Struthio camelus: one gene and its partner. The protein of the gene in region 1 binds, or shares a complex with, the protein of each later gene. Links are inferred from orthologs where the notes say so. Each region holds a gene or a part of one and is shown in the gene's direction. Other genes may lie near its edges.

Region 1 (8,047 bases):
CAAATAGACAAGTTTAACTTAATGAAGACTCAAAATTAATATGTGTTGGGGGCCTACCCCAGGAGTCTCACTATCCCTAATTGGATGGTTTTTTTCATGAAATAGTCAGCATTAACTTTTGGCTTAGCGAGGGAAAAGATCTCACATTTAGTTTGCCCCTATATCTTCCCCTACTCCTGGGAATTCTTGGCAGAATTGCCAACATCTCTAGTGGCCAGGCAAAAAAAGCTCTCCCTTGTCATAAGGACTTTTTTTTTTTTTTAATCACCATCCAGGGCCAATTCTGGTTCTTTCTCTCTCCCACTCAACACCTCCTACTCCAGAGGCAGCACTGGTCCCAACAAGCCCTCCAGCAGACTGAAAGTTGCGGCAGCTTTCTGCCTGGGTGACTTCCTGTCTTGAGGGCTCTGTGCCTAGATTTATACCAGCAGAAATCAGTGTAACTTAGGTTTAATATAGCTCAAAGCGGAGCTAATTTTGTGCTGGAACACTCTGGAATGGCATATCAAACTCTGGTTTTGACCATATGCAGTAGTGTTTCACACTACTTCCACAAAAAATAAGCTTTGGCTCATAGTATTATCTATTTTTGTCTCATCTTTAACCTATTTTAGAATTACACCGGCTAAGCAAAACCACCTTTTTCTTTTTTCTCTCATCTCACTGGTCTAAAGTGCTACCCAACATATGTAAGCATGGAAAAAAAAAGATGTCTTTTAAAATAGCAATAAGATACAGATGATTTTTCAGAGGCATTTAAAAATATTAATGGTGTAAAGACAGCTTGACAAACACGGGATGATTATTCTCTTCTCCACAGGCCAAAGTACAACGGTGGCATCCTTCCAAACAGCGCTCAAGATGTTTGATTTCTATTTCAGTTGATATTTGACAGAAAGGACTTTATTTTTACATTATCGAGGGGAAGTGGATAGGAGTACTTTTTCTGTTGTTTTTCCTACTTGCTTCCCTTGATTACCCTACTGCCTTTCTACTTGTACTGTTTGAAGTGTTTTATTATCCATGGTCAGACACCTGAGGGCCTTCAGGATTTAAGTTATCTTCAATAGTCCATTGTTATTTTAAGGTGTGGTATCCAAACATCTACCAGCTAAACACTTGATGGTTAGTGTCTGCAACATATAAATAACAAGCTAGATGAAGAGCACAGTGGCCTGGAAAAGACGCAGACTGAAATTAAAACATATATCTGCTCTGAAGTTCTCTGTGGTTCAACATCTAAGTTTTAAGACAAACTTCTACTTCATGATTAGCTAAGGTAATAAGATGAGGAATTAGGAAATCCCAATGGTAGCCTGAAAAAAAAAGGCTTTGCATCAGATGAATCCTACGCTTGAATTTCACTTAACTAGAAATAAGAGTAGCATCCTGCTTTCCTTCCTCTGGCCACACATTCCCTTGTGTCTAGTGATCTAGCGATGGTTAGCCTTGAAGTCAGTTGCTCCAATGAGCTCATCTGACAGAAGACAAATCCACCAAAAAATATGAAGCATTTTCCATTGAACTGGTTTGCCCAGCTGTTTCATTCCGCAGTCTCACTTGTACAGGATCTCATGTAAGAGGGAGGAAGACAGAATACATGGCTGAAGAGAGATGGAGAAGACTGCACTTTTCAGCATTAGCCTCCAGTCATACTGTATTAGGTGCACCCTAAAACTGTACTCAGAAGGTATGGTTCCACAAGTTGAGGTTAGGTGACCTAACACTTATGTGGGGAACACCCCCTCTTCCTCTTCTCCTCTCTGCTCCTGACTGTTAAGACCCTCCACGATCAGATTTCACTCATTAACCCAGAAGGAAATGAACCCAACAAAAACATTAGGTATTTTTCTGTCTTGTTATTAAGTAGCTCATGGAAGCATATGATGATGAAGGATGTAAGGGAGGGCAACCATCTGCGATTGGGAGATGAGGAGTGAGCAACATATCTGCTTTTCAGAGCTGGTGAACTCTTAGATCAGATCAGCTCTTCATAGATCTGCAGCTGTAGAAATCAGTTTGCTCAGCAGATCATCACCGAAAGGTTGATTCTAGAACAGATAAAACTCAGTTGAGCAGGATGAAGCAAGCTATTTTTGCTTGTGCTAACAGATTCTTAATACTGTGATCAATGTGCCATTAAAAAGACAATCTGAAATCAAAGAGAATCTGAAACGTCTCATAATCTCACTGTGAATGGAAAGATATAGTCACGGCTGCACAACTTAAAATGTTCTCAGACTACTAAAAGCAAATTAGGCAACAATGCTTAGTTATTCAGGAAGGGCATAGGCTTTTAAGGCGTATATCTGGCTCAAAACCAACCCATCTATGACAAAGTTTACCCAGGGGAAAGAAAACCAAAAGCACTGAAGAACCGAGGAAACAGAGGTTCTGTTGCTTTGTCCGGGTAAGTGTTTCAAAAGTCAATTCAGCAAATCAGCCACTCAATCTTACCCCAATGGGCCCATGAGCCAAGTTTGGGGCACAAGCCTATTTGACCCAGCCTCTCCCTTAGTCCTAAAGGAGACGACCGCTCCGACATAGTCTGAAGGATTTTCTGTGTCTCTGCACAGCCAGGCATTCCCTGAGGCCTTGAGGCTCATCCTATCCTCCTACACAGAAGTAGGAGCATCAATTTGGACAAATAAGTCTCTGCCAAGGGGCCTGCACTTCACAGCCACTGCTGCATCTCCAGGGGAATGAGTGGGGATGGACTCCAGACTTTATAAGAAGCAGTCAGATGTCCATGCTGCATAGATGAAGGTCAGCAGTTTGTGAAGGGGAAAGAAGAGGGCAGCTGCTGCACTGAAAGATTGTGGGGTATTGGCATGGTTGGGTGGGAAAAGCACTGTTGTCAAAAGGAACGAGAGAGCAGCTCCTTGGACATAAGGAGTGGGAGGCAAAGATCAGCCTCCAGCAACCTCCTACAACCGATATTTACCCTTTGGGCTGTTAAGTTTGGGTATCCCGCTGATGCCATAAATTTTTAACTAGTGAAACTAGTAGTACAGCCCTGAAATATTTTAGAAGTACTCCAATACTTCTGACCAATTCAGATGTTAAAAAATGAATGTGAGGGAAGAAAATAATTCAGCAGAGGGATTGTTTTATTTTCAACTCTAGAGGATTGCTTTATTTTCCAAAGTTGTTATTTCTGTTTACACACCCATGGAGACATTGTAACAAATCAGTGAATTGGAGGCACAACCAGACAGCTTCACTGATTACATCTTTTCTTGAACAAAATCAGGGAAATAATACTGTATTTTTGAAAAAAAAAAAAGGGCAAGCAAAAAAGTGTAGAACTATTTGATGAGATTTTCTCTGCTCCATAGTTTAAAGAGAGTTCCCAAACTATCTACAGATTGGAACTTTGAATGCTGTTGTATACTGTAAATGAATTTTAAGAAACTCCTGTTGGCAGACTTTTCTTCTTCTTGGGGTTGCCAAATCTCATTACTTTATTACAAATCCCGTAATGTTCAATTGATTTCTTAAACCACAATTCAAAGAATCATTGATTAACGAGCATCTTGCCTTTCCTTTTTTTTTTTTAATAAGTAAATTTCTCAGGGACAAACTTATTGCAGTAGGTAAAAAGATAATCAGAGTAAACACCAGAGCAGTCAGAGATGTTATCATCTATCTACTACTTTCTCTAATCAAGAGTGATGAGAATCACTGTTTGCTAGGGGTTTTTGCAGCTGCCTGCTGACAACAGAAGATGGCGGAGTCTGGGGACTCCACGTTTTTCAGTGGAAGTGCTCACAGAATTATAAACCTCGGTCCCTGATTAGCTTTCTCTCTGTGCTCTCCGATCTTGCCCTCCACCTTAGCTTCAGCCTCTATCTCTTCACATTACTGCCAGTTTCATGAATTTCAGAAATTCCACTGGCTTCACTGTGACCCCACCCAGAGCTAGGGGTCGGTTTGCAGTTATCAGACCATATACAGCAACATTTAAAAATAAATGGTATTTTTAAAATATAGCTCGATTGTCTGCAGGTTCAAGGGCAGGGTTTGCATCTGTTAACTGCCCCACCAGCTGATCGCTGCATGCAGCACCCTGTAATTCATGCAAAGCCACCTTTAGGTTGCACCTAGAGGTCTGCACATGCAAGTCATGCTTCTGGTTGGCCATTGTGAGGCCTCGTTGCTTGCCTGACACAAAACCCAGGTAGGAGCTCAGGGTTCTGCCCGATTTAAAGCTTAGGGTTTTGTTACGTTTTCGTTATCACTTAGTTTTCTTAAGTCATTAGGAAAACGCGATTCCTGCCTCCAACTAAAAAAAGCACCTAAGGGATTTTTGGGTGTCAGAGAGCATAGAGTTAACAAAGTTATGACGCTGTTCAATGGCAAGCCCTCTCTCTGGGTTCGTTTTCCCCGTCTGCAGGGTACATCTGAGTCTCACCGAGAGGCTCTTCGGTCAAAACCCGGGGACTGGAAACGCATGTAAAACAACAAGTCCTGACCCTTGAGTAACGGCCCAGCTCCAGCAGGGGGTCGTTTACAAACACTGCCTCGGGGGCAGACGGGGGAGACGAGACCACCTCTCCTTCACACCCACACGCCCTTCCCAGCCAGCCCCGCTGAACTCCTTCCCCCCTCCCGGCCCTTCCTCAGCGCCCGCCTCAGCGCCAGCGCCGCCCTCCCGCCTCGCCTCACGGCAGCCGTTACCCACCCCTCAGCCCCGCCCCGCCCGCCGCGCTTGGGGGAGGAGGGGGAGGGGGAAGGAACCGCCCTCCCCACCCTTCCCCGCACTGCGCATGCGCTGGCCGGGGAGGCGGTGGGGGTGGGGCGGCTGCAGTTCGCACCTCCGCTGAGGGGGGCGCTGCCGCCTCGCCTAGCGCGGGCCTGGTGCCGCCGCCGGTTCTCGCTCGGGTCCGCAGCCGGGATCATGATGGCGGCGGCGACGGCCGGGGGAGGCGGGGACCGAAGCAGCACCCGGGACCGGCTCCTGGCGGCGCTGGAGGATCTCGAGCTCCTGGCCAGGTACCGCGCTCCCGCCGCGCGCCGGCTGAGACGGCGCCAAGCTCGGGCGGCGGCCGATGGGCCAGAGGGTGCTCGGCGCTGTACGGGCGCGGAGCCTCGGACGGCGCCGGCGAGCCGAAGCCGGGGCGGGTGCCGCCGGGGGCTGAGGGGGCCCGGGAGGGGGGAGATCAGCCCGACCCCAACGCCGGGGCGGCACGGGGCCCTGCGTTTTCCTGCTGCCGCCGCCCCGGCACCGCCTCCAGGCCGGCTCCTGGGGCAGCGGGGTGCGTGCTGCGTCTGCTGCAGGGCCCCTGCCCCGCCGGGGCGCCGCCGGAGACGCTTCCTCGTATTCCGTGTTCTCAGAGCAGAACGGGCAGCTTCCTTATTCTTCGGCTTGCCTTCCTTTCTTGGTTGTCACCTGCGTTTCCTGTTGAGACAGTCTCCCCACCCCCCCTTCACAGAAGAGGTTTGAAGCGTTTTATTATTCACTGAAAAACGGCGCATATGTCAGAGCTCTGTAGATGGTATTGCACGACTTAAGCCGTTCTGGTCATTACCAGTTCAACTCTGTCAAAGCAGGCTGTAAAGCGTGTCCTTGGAGTGATGCAAATGCTCAAGTAGGTAGCCCGCGCTCTTCAGGCTGGACTGCAGCTCCCCATCCAAGCTGTCCACCATGTTGTGGGAGTCCCAGCTAGCAGTGCAGTGAAACTGGTTGCTAATTATCTTCTTCCTCGCAAGGAGAGCAGGAGCTTAGGAAAACTTTTTCACAGGGAGCAATCTAAAGTGTTCATGTGGCTGGTTCGCTCTTTCTGATTACCCCAGGTAGGACAAGGACAGTATACTGTCCAGTTGCTCTTCTTCTTTCTAGTTAGGTTTTATTTTCAGTTTTAGATTTTGTTGTGACTTTTGGGTTGCTGGAATGGGGGAGAACATCTGCTGTTTTAGGAAAAAACATTTTGCTCTTTATCTAAATGTTTACTGATTTTTAGGGGGACTAAGATTCCATCATAATGAATCCAGAGCATCCCTCAGCAATATTTTTGTGAATCTTCCTGTTAATCAGCAAAGTGTTGAAGCACCATGGCATTAGACCTTTCACAGTCATGATATTGCCTTGGTGGTAGGAGCAAAGGAGCCTGCTTCAGATAAACTTATACATGCACAGCACTGAACTTCAGCCCATGTCATTAGAAGCCAAACATATTTGCCCCATTTACACCAAGTGCCTTTTTGCATCATGGTGTTGTTGTTTAGCAAGTCCCTTTAGAGGTTACTGACAGGTTTTCATAATGGTGGCAAAGTAAACGGGTATATGGAGGCACAATCAAGAGGTTTAGTTGAGATGCCCTTCTAACCTAGTCCCAGAATATTATTAGTTTATTCATATTTTTGTATGTATTTGATATACAGCTGATATACCATTGTGAGAATACTTGTTTTTATAATAATAATAGTTTCACAACAAACTCTTTAAATGTTTGAAAGCGTAGGTTTAATTGCTCTAAACCCAAGTGTGAAACTTGCTCTGTTGTAAAAACAGAGAAAAAGTAGAGAAGTAAAATAATGATAACAACTTATACTTTCATGTTCTCTTGCAATAAACAAGGGTGATAAAACTAGAGCACGAATGTATTTCATTGTCTTTTTTCTTCTCCCAGCTTCTATTTATGTCTCTTTCAGTTTGGCACGTTTCTTGCTCATGTGCATTTGTGCTCGCTTTGTGAGCTCAAAGGAGAAAAAATAATTATGTGAATAGTCTCATGATTTGAGCACATTTTTTTCTTTCTAAGTTGAGAAATCCCTGACACAGCTATGCTACAAAACTACAAAATGCTCAAGCATGTGAGTACTTTTGTAATGCTGTCAGTACTCTGAAAATTTTGGGATGACTTAGTCTGATTTGTAAATAGCATAGAAAAAATAGCATAGCAAGTTGTATAAATACACAGTTTTCTTTTCAGAGAACTAATTGAAATACTGGCAATTTCAAGAAACCAGAAGCTTCCGCAACCAGGAGAAGAAAGCCAGGTAAACTAACTTTCTTAACAGTATTTCTTTGTGTGGTCAGATGTTCTACTTTACTTCTTTCTTTTTTTTTTCCTCTCTTGTCCCTGCGTATGTTTAGACTAATGATGATGATGAGTTTTTGGCCACACTAAAATGATATTCCTGGTCCTTGTGGTGCTTTTTTGTTTATTTTCTTTACTGCATGCTTCATAGGTTGTTTCTGCAAACAGAGCGAGAAGTTTGTTTCATTTGGCATGCAAACAGAAATACTCATGTAGATATCAGTTGTTCTTCCTTGCTGCATAATTGTGGGTATGCTGTTACTCTGACTAAATTAAAAGTTCTATGAAACTCTTGTCTGACAGATCCTGGAGCTGCTGATTCAGAGGGATGGAGAGTTTCAAGAGCTAATGAAGCTGGCAGTTGATCAGGGGAAAATTCATCATGAAATGCAGCTTTTAGAAAAGGTAGTAGAAAAGAGGGATAGTGATATTCAGCAGCTGCAGAAGCAACTAAAAGAAGCAGAGCACATACTGGTAAGTTCAAAGGTGCTGTGCTTGCTTTTAAGCACCTACTTCTGAAAAAGGTGGTTCTGGAGAAAACAGTGTTGTGTTAGTTTGAAAAGATTCAATATTTAAAACTTCACAACCGCTTAGCGGAGTTTTTCTTTTCAGTAGGCAAACGCTTTTTAGTTATCGGGGCATTCAGTTTTGTTTTACAATGTTAATTTTCTTCCAAAGCTAGTTTACTTTTATATATTTTGAAAATGTTCCCTGAATGGTTTATCCATCAAAATGCAATTAAATGCAAGGATCTATTCACAGAGCCATTTTTATGCGTAAGTTTACAAATGAATGATTCATTGGAGGTTGGGTTTTTTTTTTTGTTTTTTACAACTAGGCAACAGCTGTTTATCAAGCAAAGGAGAAGCTGAAATCAATTGAAAAGGCAAGAAAAGGTGAGTATCCATGCTTGTACATACTACACAAAAGCAGTTATAAGGAGGGTTCACAGAATCACAGAATGGTTGAGGTTGGAAGGGATCTAGACCATCATCTAGTCCAAC
Region 2 (7,768 bases), on another chromosome or scaffold:
CCCCCCACCCAGCAGCCCCCCTCCCCTCGCCCAGCAGCCCCCATCCAGCACACCCCCCTCGCCCAGCAGCCCCCATCCAGCACACCCCCTCCACCCAGCAGCCCCCCTCCCCTCGCCCAGCAGCCCCCATCCAGCACACCCCCCCCACCCAGCAGCCCCCCTCCCCTCGCCCAGCAGCCCCCATCCAGCACACCCCCCTCGCCCAGCAGCCCCCATCCAGCACACCCCCCTCGCCCAGCAGCCCCCCCACCCAGCAGCCCCCCTCCCCTCACCCAGCAGCCCCCATCCAGCACACCCCCTCCACCCAGCAGCCCCCCTCCCCTCGCCCAGCAGCCCCTATCCAGCACACCCCCCTCACCCAGCAGCCCCCATCCAGCACACCCCCTCCACCCAGCAGCCCCCCTCCCCTCGCCCAGCAGCCCCCATCCAGCACACCCCCCTCGCCCAGCAGCCCCCATCCAGCACACCCCCTCCACCCAGCAGCCCCCCTCCCCTCGCCCAGCAGCCCCCATCCAGCACACCCCCTCCACCCAGCAGCCCCCATCCAGCACACCCCCCTCACCCAGCAGCCCCCATCCAGCACACCCCCCCCACCCAGCAGCCCCCCTCCCCTCGCGCAGCAGCCCCCATCCAGCACACCCCCCTCGCCCAGCAGCCCCCATCCAGCACACCCCCCTCGCCCAGCAGCCCCCCCACCCAGCAGCCCCCCTCCCCTCGCCCAGCAGCCCCCATCCAGCACACCCCCCCCACCCAGCAGCCCCCCTCCCCTCGCGCAGCAGCCCCCATCCAGCACACCCCCCTCGCGCAGCAGCCCCCATCCAGCCCCCCTCCCCTCGCCCAGCAGCCCCCATCCAGCAGCCCCCCTCCCCTCGCCCCGCACCCCCCCCCCGCCCAGCAGCCCCGGCGGCCTGGGCGCAGCGCTCACCAGTGCTCGATGACCACGCGGGGGCCGCTCCCCCCGGGGCCGCCCCGGACCCGCTTCTGCGGCGCATCCGCTTCCTCCTCTGCCCGGACCTCGGTCGCCTCCGGGGCGCCGCGCTTCTTGCGCCGGGGAGCCATGCTGGGGAGAGCCGGGGCGGGCTGAGCGCCGGGGGGGCCCCGCCGGGCGGATAGCAAGGGAGGAGGAGCCCCGGGAGCGGGCCGCGGCTGGGGGGGGGGGGGGGGGCGAGGTTCCCCCCCACCCGAGGAAGGCCGGGGACCCCCCGGGGGCGGGGAGGGGAGAGCCGCGGAGCCGCCGCTACCTGCCGCGCTGCTCTGCGCCGCGCCGAGCCGGGCCGGGCACGTGGCGGGGCGCGGGGAACCGCTGCGGGCTGAGCCACCGGCACCGCCGCCGGCGGGGGGAACACGGGGCAGAGCGGCGCGGCGCAGCCCGCCGGTGCGAGCGGGCCGCCGCGGCCCCCCCCGCCGCACGGCGGCCGGACACTCCGTCACCGCTCGCCCGCTTCACCGCCCGCGGGCACCCCGGGGCGAGGGGGGGAATTTGGGGGGGGGTTGGAGCAACCCCCCCCCATGGGGCACAGTGGTTCCGCCCGCTCCCCCCGCCCCCTTCCCGCGGTTATGTAGCCAGCGCGGAAGGCGCAGCCAATCACGACGCGGCAGCCGCGGCGTGGCCAAGCCCCTCAGCGCCCACGTGATTTCCCCCCCCCCCCACGCACACCGGGGAGCGGTCCCCTCCCGCCGCCGCCGCCGCCGCCGCCGCCGCCGCCGCCGCCGCCGCGCAGCACAGGGACACGGCGGGGCGCTGCGGGCGTTTATTGACAGCCATGAGGATGAGCGTTCACCGGTGCGGGGCGGCTCTGCCCCGCCGCCTCCCAGCCCCCGCGGGCACGGGGCCGGGGCGCCTCGTACCGGGCCCCACACCCCACTGCACCGGGCGGCCGCGGTGACCCCCTGGGTGGCGCGGGGTGCAGGTCCCTCCTGCAACTTGGGGGGTGAGGGGGGGGGGCAACAGCAGCGTTGTCAGCTTCTACTTGTCCTTCTTGGTCTCCCCGTTGGCCAGGCCGGCGGCCGCCTGCGCCTCGGGCGCCTCCTCGGGCCCCTCATCCCGCGGCTTCGACTGCTTCTTGGCTTTGTGGTAGAGCTCGTTGAGGTTGAACTCCCTGATCACGTTCTCCTGCAGCCCAGATGGGCCGGGTGTCAGCACCCGCCAGCATCTCCCACACCTTCCTCCCCCCCCCCCCCCCCCCACAGCCCCGAGTGCCCTTCCCGCAGTGCTGGGAGCCACCAGCCACCTCCGGGGCCGGGTGCTGAACCGCGTCGTGCCCCAGAGGCTGGAGGACGCCAAGGGCTGGAAGGTCTCCACCCACCTCTGAGAAGGTCCAGGACACGGCTCGACCTTTCTTATCGATCTGTGGGCGACGCATGGTCTCCGTCCCGCCCTGGAAGAGGATGAGGGTGGGCAGCTGCTTGGTGAGGGGCGAGGTGCTGACTTTATACCTGCGGGAGGCGGACGGTGAGCCTGCGGGAGCTGCAGGGGCCCGGGGGCCCCCCAGACGTTCCCCCTTCTGCCCGGATAGGGGCTCTGCTGATGGGGGCCGTCCCCTTCCCCCGTCCCCGCAGACCTGGTGCTGACGTCCGTGTACCGGCCCACATCCACCTTCCCGAAGTGCAGCCCCGAGCAGTTGTACCTGGCGGAGAGACGCAGCTGAGAGCGCCGAGCATGACTGTGTCTCCCCCCCGCCCCAAACCCTGGTGGGCGCCGCTCACTTGAGAGAGAGGTCGGCGAAGATGGGGGCGAAGGACTGGCACTCGCTGGACCAGTTGGCGAAGAACTCGATGATCCAGGTCACCCGCTTGTCTCGTTCCAGCTCCTCCTGCCGCACGGGGTCACGGCTTGGCGGGGCGCGGCGGGGCGCAGCGCCCCCTCCGGCGCCGCCGTGCCCCGGCCCGGCCCGCAGAGGACATACTCACGTCTATGGTCTTGTCGTTGAAATACTTGATGTACTCGGGACCCATGTAGAGGGGCGGCTTGCAGGTCATCAGGAACACTGTAACGACAGCGCCCGTGAACCCGCTGCCTGGACGGGCCTGTTCCCGCAGGGAAGAGGCCCTTACCCTCACCCACACACCCGTTGCCCCCCGCCCCGAAAGCGGCCAAGAGAGCCAGGCTCGGTTCAGGATGAGGTTCCTCTTTCCCCGGACTACCCCTCTGGGCCTGTACGGAGGAGCGCTATGGACACCCTGTGCTCGGGGCAAGCGGAGCCGGGGGGCACCGCTGCGGCCCCTGGTGCCCCCATCCCCGCGGGTCTCACCTATGCACAGCGTGAGGTAGAGCAGGCCCATGCGGATGTCGAGACGGAAGAAGAGGATGGCGTTGGCCACTTTGCTGAACATGAAGATGTTGCCGATGTGCTGCTCCACAGTGACTGGGGGAGAGGGGTGAGAGCCAGGGCCAGATTCCCCCATCCCCTCTCAGCCGCCACTCCCCGAACTCCCCCCCTTCCTCTGGCTCCTACTCCATCCAGCTCTGCAGGGGATGGTCCACAAGCAGGCCCTGCCCCGCAGCCCCCCGCGCCCACCCAACAACGCAGGCCCCGACTCACTGGAGCGGCGGTTCTTCATCATCACGATGGCACTGAGGAACATGAGGATCTCCACCTCCCGCTGGGCACAGGAGAGAGGAGGTGAGCAGGAGGCACCCACCAGACCCTGCGGCCCTACCGCCCGCCCAGAGCCAGGGCGCTCCCAGCCCAGCCTGCCACAGGGACCTGGCGGCTGTGCCCCCCGCCACCGCTGCTCCCCCGTGCCATCCCTCAGCTCCTCTCCCTCCCGAGCACCGAGAGGCGGCCTGCGAGCACAGCCAGGAAAGGGGGCCGCCGTCCCCGAGGCGCTCAGGGAGCCCCCAAGCGGCGGGCCGGGGCTGGCAGAGCACTGCCGGCGGGCGCCAGGCCCGGCCCTCCCTCGGCAGCGCCGGGGAGCCGCGAGGAGAGCGGGCCCGGGGGCAGGAAGGACGTCGGGGACAGGCGGGACACGGGGCTCGGGCGGGCGGCAGCCCGCCTCACCCAGTCAAAGTCGCAGGGGTTGCCGTCCTCCCGCTGCGAGGGCAGGCCGCGGCAGAGCGGCGGCAGCTTGCGGACGAGCAGGAAGGCGGTGGCGAGCAGCGCCGAGAGCGGGTAGTAGGGCCGCGCCAGCCAGCGGCACAGCGCCGGCATCGAGTACAGCAGCGCCAGCAGCGGCGCCACCACCGCCATCTTCCCTCCGCTCGCCGCCGAGCTCTGCCGGCCACCGTACGGCCGGAGCGGGGCTCTTCTTATTGGGCCGGCCTCCTGCTCGTCAGCGGTGGGCGGGGCTCCTCCGCCGCTGGCCAATGGCGCGGCCCCGCTGCCAAGCTCTTCCGACATCCAGCCGCAGAAGGCGGGGAGGCGGCCAATCAGGATACTCGGTCCGCGCCGCACGTAGCAACGGGGGGGAAGGGGCGGGCCGTAGGCAGCGTTCAACCAATCTAAGCCGAGTGCCTGGGGCGCGGCTCTCCCCCCATAGGGTGGGGCGGTGCGGCCAGCCCGCCCCCGGCGCGGGGCACGCTGGGAGCATGGAGAATTTCTCGGCGCTCTTCGGCGGGGCCGAGCCGCCGCCCGCCGCCGCCGCCGCCGCGCTGGGCTTCGGACCGGCCAAGGCGGCGGGGCCCGGGGCCGGGCCGCCCCCCGCCGCCGCCGCGCCGCCGCCCGGCGAGGACGCGGCCCGCAAGGCCGCCGCCGCCGGCCCCTTCTACCTGCTGCGGGAGCTGCCAGGTACGGGGCGGGGCTCGCGGGGCGCTCCGCCAATCAACGCGCGGGAGGCGGGCGCCGCCCGCGATAGGCGGGGCGCTCCGCCAATTGGCCGCGCGGAAGCGGCACCGGGCTTCCGGAGGGGGGTAACGGACAGCGCGGTGGGCCAATAAGGTGCGGGGGGGGGAGAGGGAGAACGAGGCGCAAACTGACAGCCCGGCCGGCTAATGGGATGCAAGAGGAGGGGCGGGGCTGAGCGGCGCACCACCCAATAGGGGAAGGGCGCGGGACTGGGGCCTCGCAGAGGTATCCCATAGTGCTTTGCCCTGGCTCCCGCCAACATGGACGGCGGTGGGGGCGGGCAGGCACCACGGAGCTGACGGGCAGCACCAACCTCATCACGCACTACAACCTGGAGCACGCCTACAACAAGTTCTGCGGCAAGAAGGTGAAGGAGAAACTCAGCAACTTCCTCCCCGACCTGCCGGGCATGATCGACCTGCCCGGCTCCCACGACAACAGCAGCCTGCGCTCCCTCATCGAGAAGCCCCCCATCTGCGGCAGCTCCTTCACCCCCCTCACCGGCACCATGCTCACCGGCTTCCGCCTCCACGCCGGCCCGGTGAGCCCCGGCGCTGCCAGGCCCAGAGGCAGCGCGGAGGGAGGGAGGGAGGGAGGCCTGGCGCGGGCTGACGGGCCCCCTCGCCCTCTCTGTCTCTCTCTCTGGGCAGCTGCCGGAGCAGTGCCGGCTCATGCACATCCAGCCGCCCAAGAAGAAGAACAAGCACAAGCACAAGCAGAGCCGCACCCAGGATCCCGTCCCCCCGGGTAAGGGACGCGCCTGGCTCCCGCAGCACCCCTCACCACGAGAAGCCCGCTGGGCACCCCACTGACCCAGCTCTCTCCCTTCCTTCAGAAACCCCCTCGGACTCTGACCACAAGAAGAAAAAGAAGAAAAAAGAGGAGGATCCTGAGCGGAAGAGGAAGAAGAAGGAAAAGAAGAAAAAGAAGGTAGGTGGGGAGAGCCAGGCTCTCACCCACGGCCCCTGTGGGCCCAGGCCCTCCCCGCGCGCCCCCCCAGGAGCTGCCTGGCCCCGGGAGCTGCCGAGCAGCCCTTCCCCGGGCCGCTGATCAGCAGGAGGTTGGAGGGGGCTGAGTGACGCTGGGAGGGCGCCGGTGGCGGGCGGGCTCCGCTCGGGGCTCACGGGGACGCGTGTGCCTCTGTCCCTCCTTGCCAGAACCGGCACAGCCCGGAGCACCCGGGCGTGGGCAGCTCCCAGGCCAGCAGCAGCAGCAGCCTGCGGTGAGGCGTCCGCTCCGTGGATCTCCCAGCCGACGGGAACGGCCTCAGCTCACCCGAGACGGACTCGTCCCTCCTGCCGGGCTCGGTGGGGGCACTCGGGCTGGCCTGTCCCCCCGGCGGAGAGGACGTCCCCAAAGCACCCACGTGCGCTTCCTGCGGAGGGCAGGAGTCACGGACTCCGCTGGAACCGCTGTGGGGAGTTGCTGCCTGTGGCCTTTTATACCAAAACAACGCGGTGCATCGGGCTCTCTTTTTTTATTCACTTTTTAATTAAAAAGGCTCTGCTCCGAGGAGGGGCTGGTGACTGTGGCTGCTGCCACCGTCGGCCCTTGTGCCAGGGCGCGGAGCGGACACGTGGGGCGTGAGTGAGCGGTGCTGCCTTAGGGAGCAGGCGTGGGGGGGAAACTGAGGCAGAAGGGGGAGGGGGGAGCCCGGGGCAGGATCTGACTGCCGGGAAAGAGGGGTCCTACCTTGGCTGCGGCTGCTCAGCTGAATACAGAACCCCTCCACTCCGCTGAGCGGCGCTTCGCTGAGGACAGCGGCGACCCCGGCGAGGTGCCGAGGCCGGCAGCGAGCCCCAGGGCAGGTGTCGCAGCGCTGGAAGCGCCGGCCAGCTGCGACAGCGGCCGAGGAGCGGCCGTAGGGCGTCCCTTCGGTCCCCGAAGCGGCTCAGGCTCCTGCGCGACTGTGCCCTGGAAGCCGCTTACGTCGGACACCCGAGAAGCCCGACTCGGCCCCTTGACAAAACGCTGACCTGTGGCGGGAGCGGAGTTTGCCCACGGGCGCCCGTCCTCAAATCGGGGTAATCCCTACGGTGAGGGCGGCCCGGCCCGGAGGCACTACACCTTAGCGCTGCTGGGCTTGGGGGCCCCTCGCTGCTCTGCTGCGGCCCAGCTTTCTCTCCCCCTTGCGCGGTGGGAGGGAAAGGTGAGCCGCAGGAGGGGCCCCTCTATCCCTGGATGCTAAACAAAGCACACGCGTGGCTCCTGCGATGGCTCATTAAATCTCCTTTTATTCCTCATTTTAAAATGGCTAATTAAAAAAAAAAAAAAATCCAATGGCTCTGCAGAGGCCACAGGAGACATATTGCCGTAGAGAAAGAGTCGAGTAGTGCCTAAAGTTTCACTGCACCTGCACAAGTTGGGTAGCCCTTTGGGGGGGGGGGGAGGTGATGGGGGAGCGCTGGACTCCTCGGCTGCTTTTTTTTGGCATGGGATGAGAAAAATATTGCTTTACGGGGCTGTGCCCCGCTGGCCTTCCTCTTTCCCCGAACGGAAATTAAAAACAACCGTGTGACAGCGAGGAAAACTCTTAACGGACCTGACAAAACAAGACTAAAAGGAAAAAAAAAAAACCTGGGGAAACATTTAAAAAAAAAAAAAACAGCTAAAACCATGAGCGCGGCCAGGCTGGTGAGCACAAGGGTTTCTGTCCAGGGCCCTGGCCTCTGCGCGAGCCTGGCGCCCCGCGGGCCTGCCCGGCGCGTGAGCTCACCCTTCGCTTGGGAGAGCAGCGCAGTAGGCAGCAGCCTCAGCCCGTCCTCATCCTCCTCCTCCTCCCCAGGTGGGAGAGGAGCTCGAGCACCTGAGGCTTAAAAAGGAAAGAAAAAGAGGATAGCCCTCACCTAAAAGCACCTCGGCATCAGGCCAGCGCGGCCTTCGCCCTTCGCGGCAACCCCGGCGCGGCGCGGCGCGGCCCGCCCGCGGCCCTCCGTTCGTCCCCTCCTCGGCCAGGAGGGCGAGCGGGGGACGCGCCGAACCAC

The links.
Region 2: MED4 (region 1) and MED19 share a complex: the UniProt entries of both Homo sapiens proteins name them as parts of the mediator complex. The link is inferred for Struthio camelus from reciprocal best matches to the Homo sapiens genes MED4 and MED19.

Annotation. Positions count from the first base shown.
Region 1 is NC_090942.1:192,113,868-192,121,914, reverse strand, and holds the start of MED4 (mediator of RNA polymerase II transcription subunit 4), read left to right. Parts: upstream 1-4,766; 5' UTR 4,767-4,900; coding exon 4,901-4,995; intron 4,996-6,935; coding exon 6,936-7,002; intron 7,003-7,346; coding exon 7,347-7,517; intron 7,518-7,881; coding exon 7,882-7,939; intron 7,940-8,047. UniProt on the Homo sapiens protein: Component of the Mediator complex, a coactivator involved in the regulated transcription of nearly all RNA polymerase II-dependent genes.
Region 2 is NC_090946.1:7,468,871-7,476,638, forward strand, and holds MED19 (mediator of RNA polymerase II transcription subunit 19), read left to right. Parts: upstream 1-4,509; 5' UTR 4,510-4,528; coding exon 4,529-4,727; intron 4,728-5,068; coding exon 5,069-5,325; intron 5,326-5,434; coding exon 5,435-5,531; intron 5,532-5,619; coding exon 5,620-5,714; intron 5,715-5,941; coding exon 5,942-6,010; 3' UTR 6,011-7,027; downstream 7,028-7,768. Other genes in the region: TMX2 (thioredoxin-related transmembrane protein 2), read right to left, coding at 1,967-2,113, 2,307-2,436, 2,562-2,627, 2,707-2,813, 2,911-2,987, 3,252-3,365, 3,543-3,603, 4,002-4,340. UniProt on the Homo sapiens protein: Component of the Mediator complex, a coactivator involved in the regulated transcription of nearly all RNA polymerase II-dependent genes.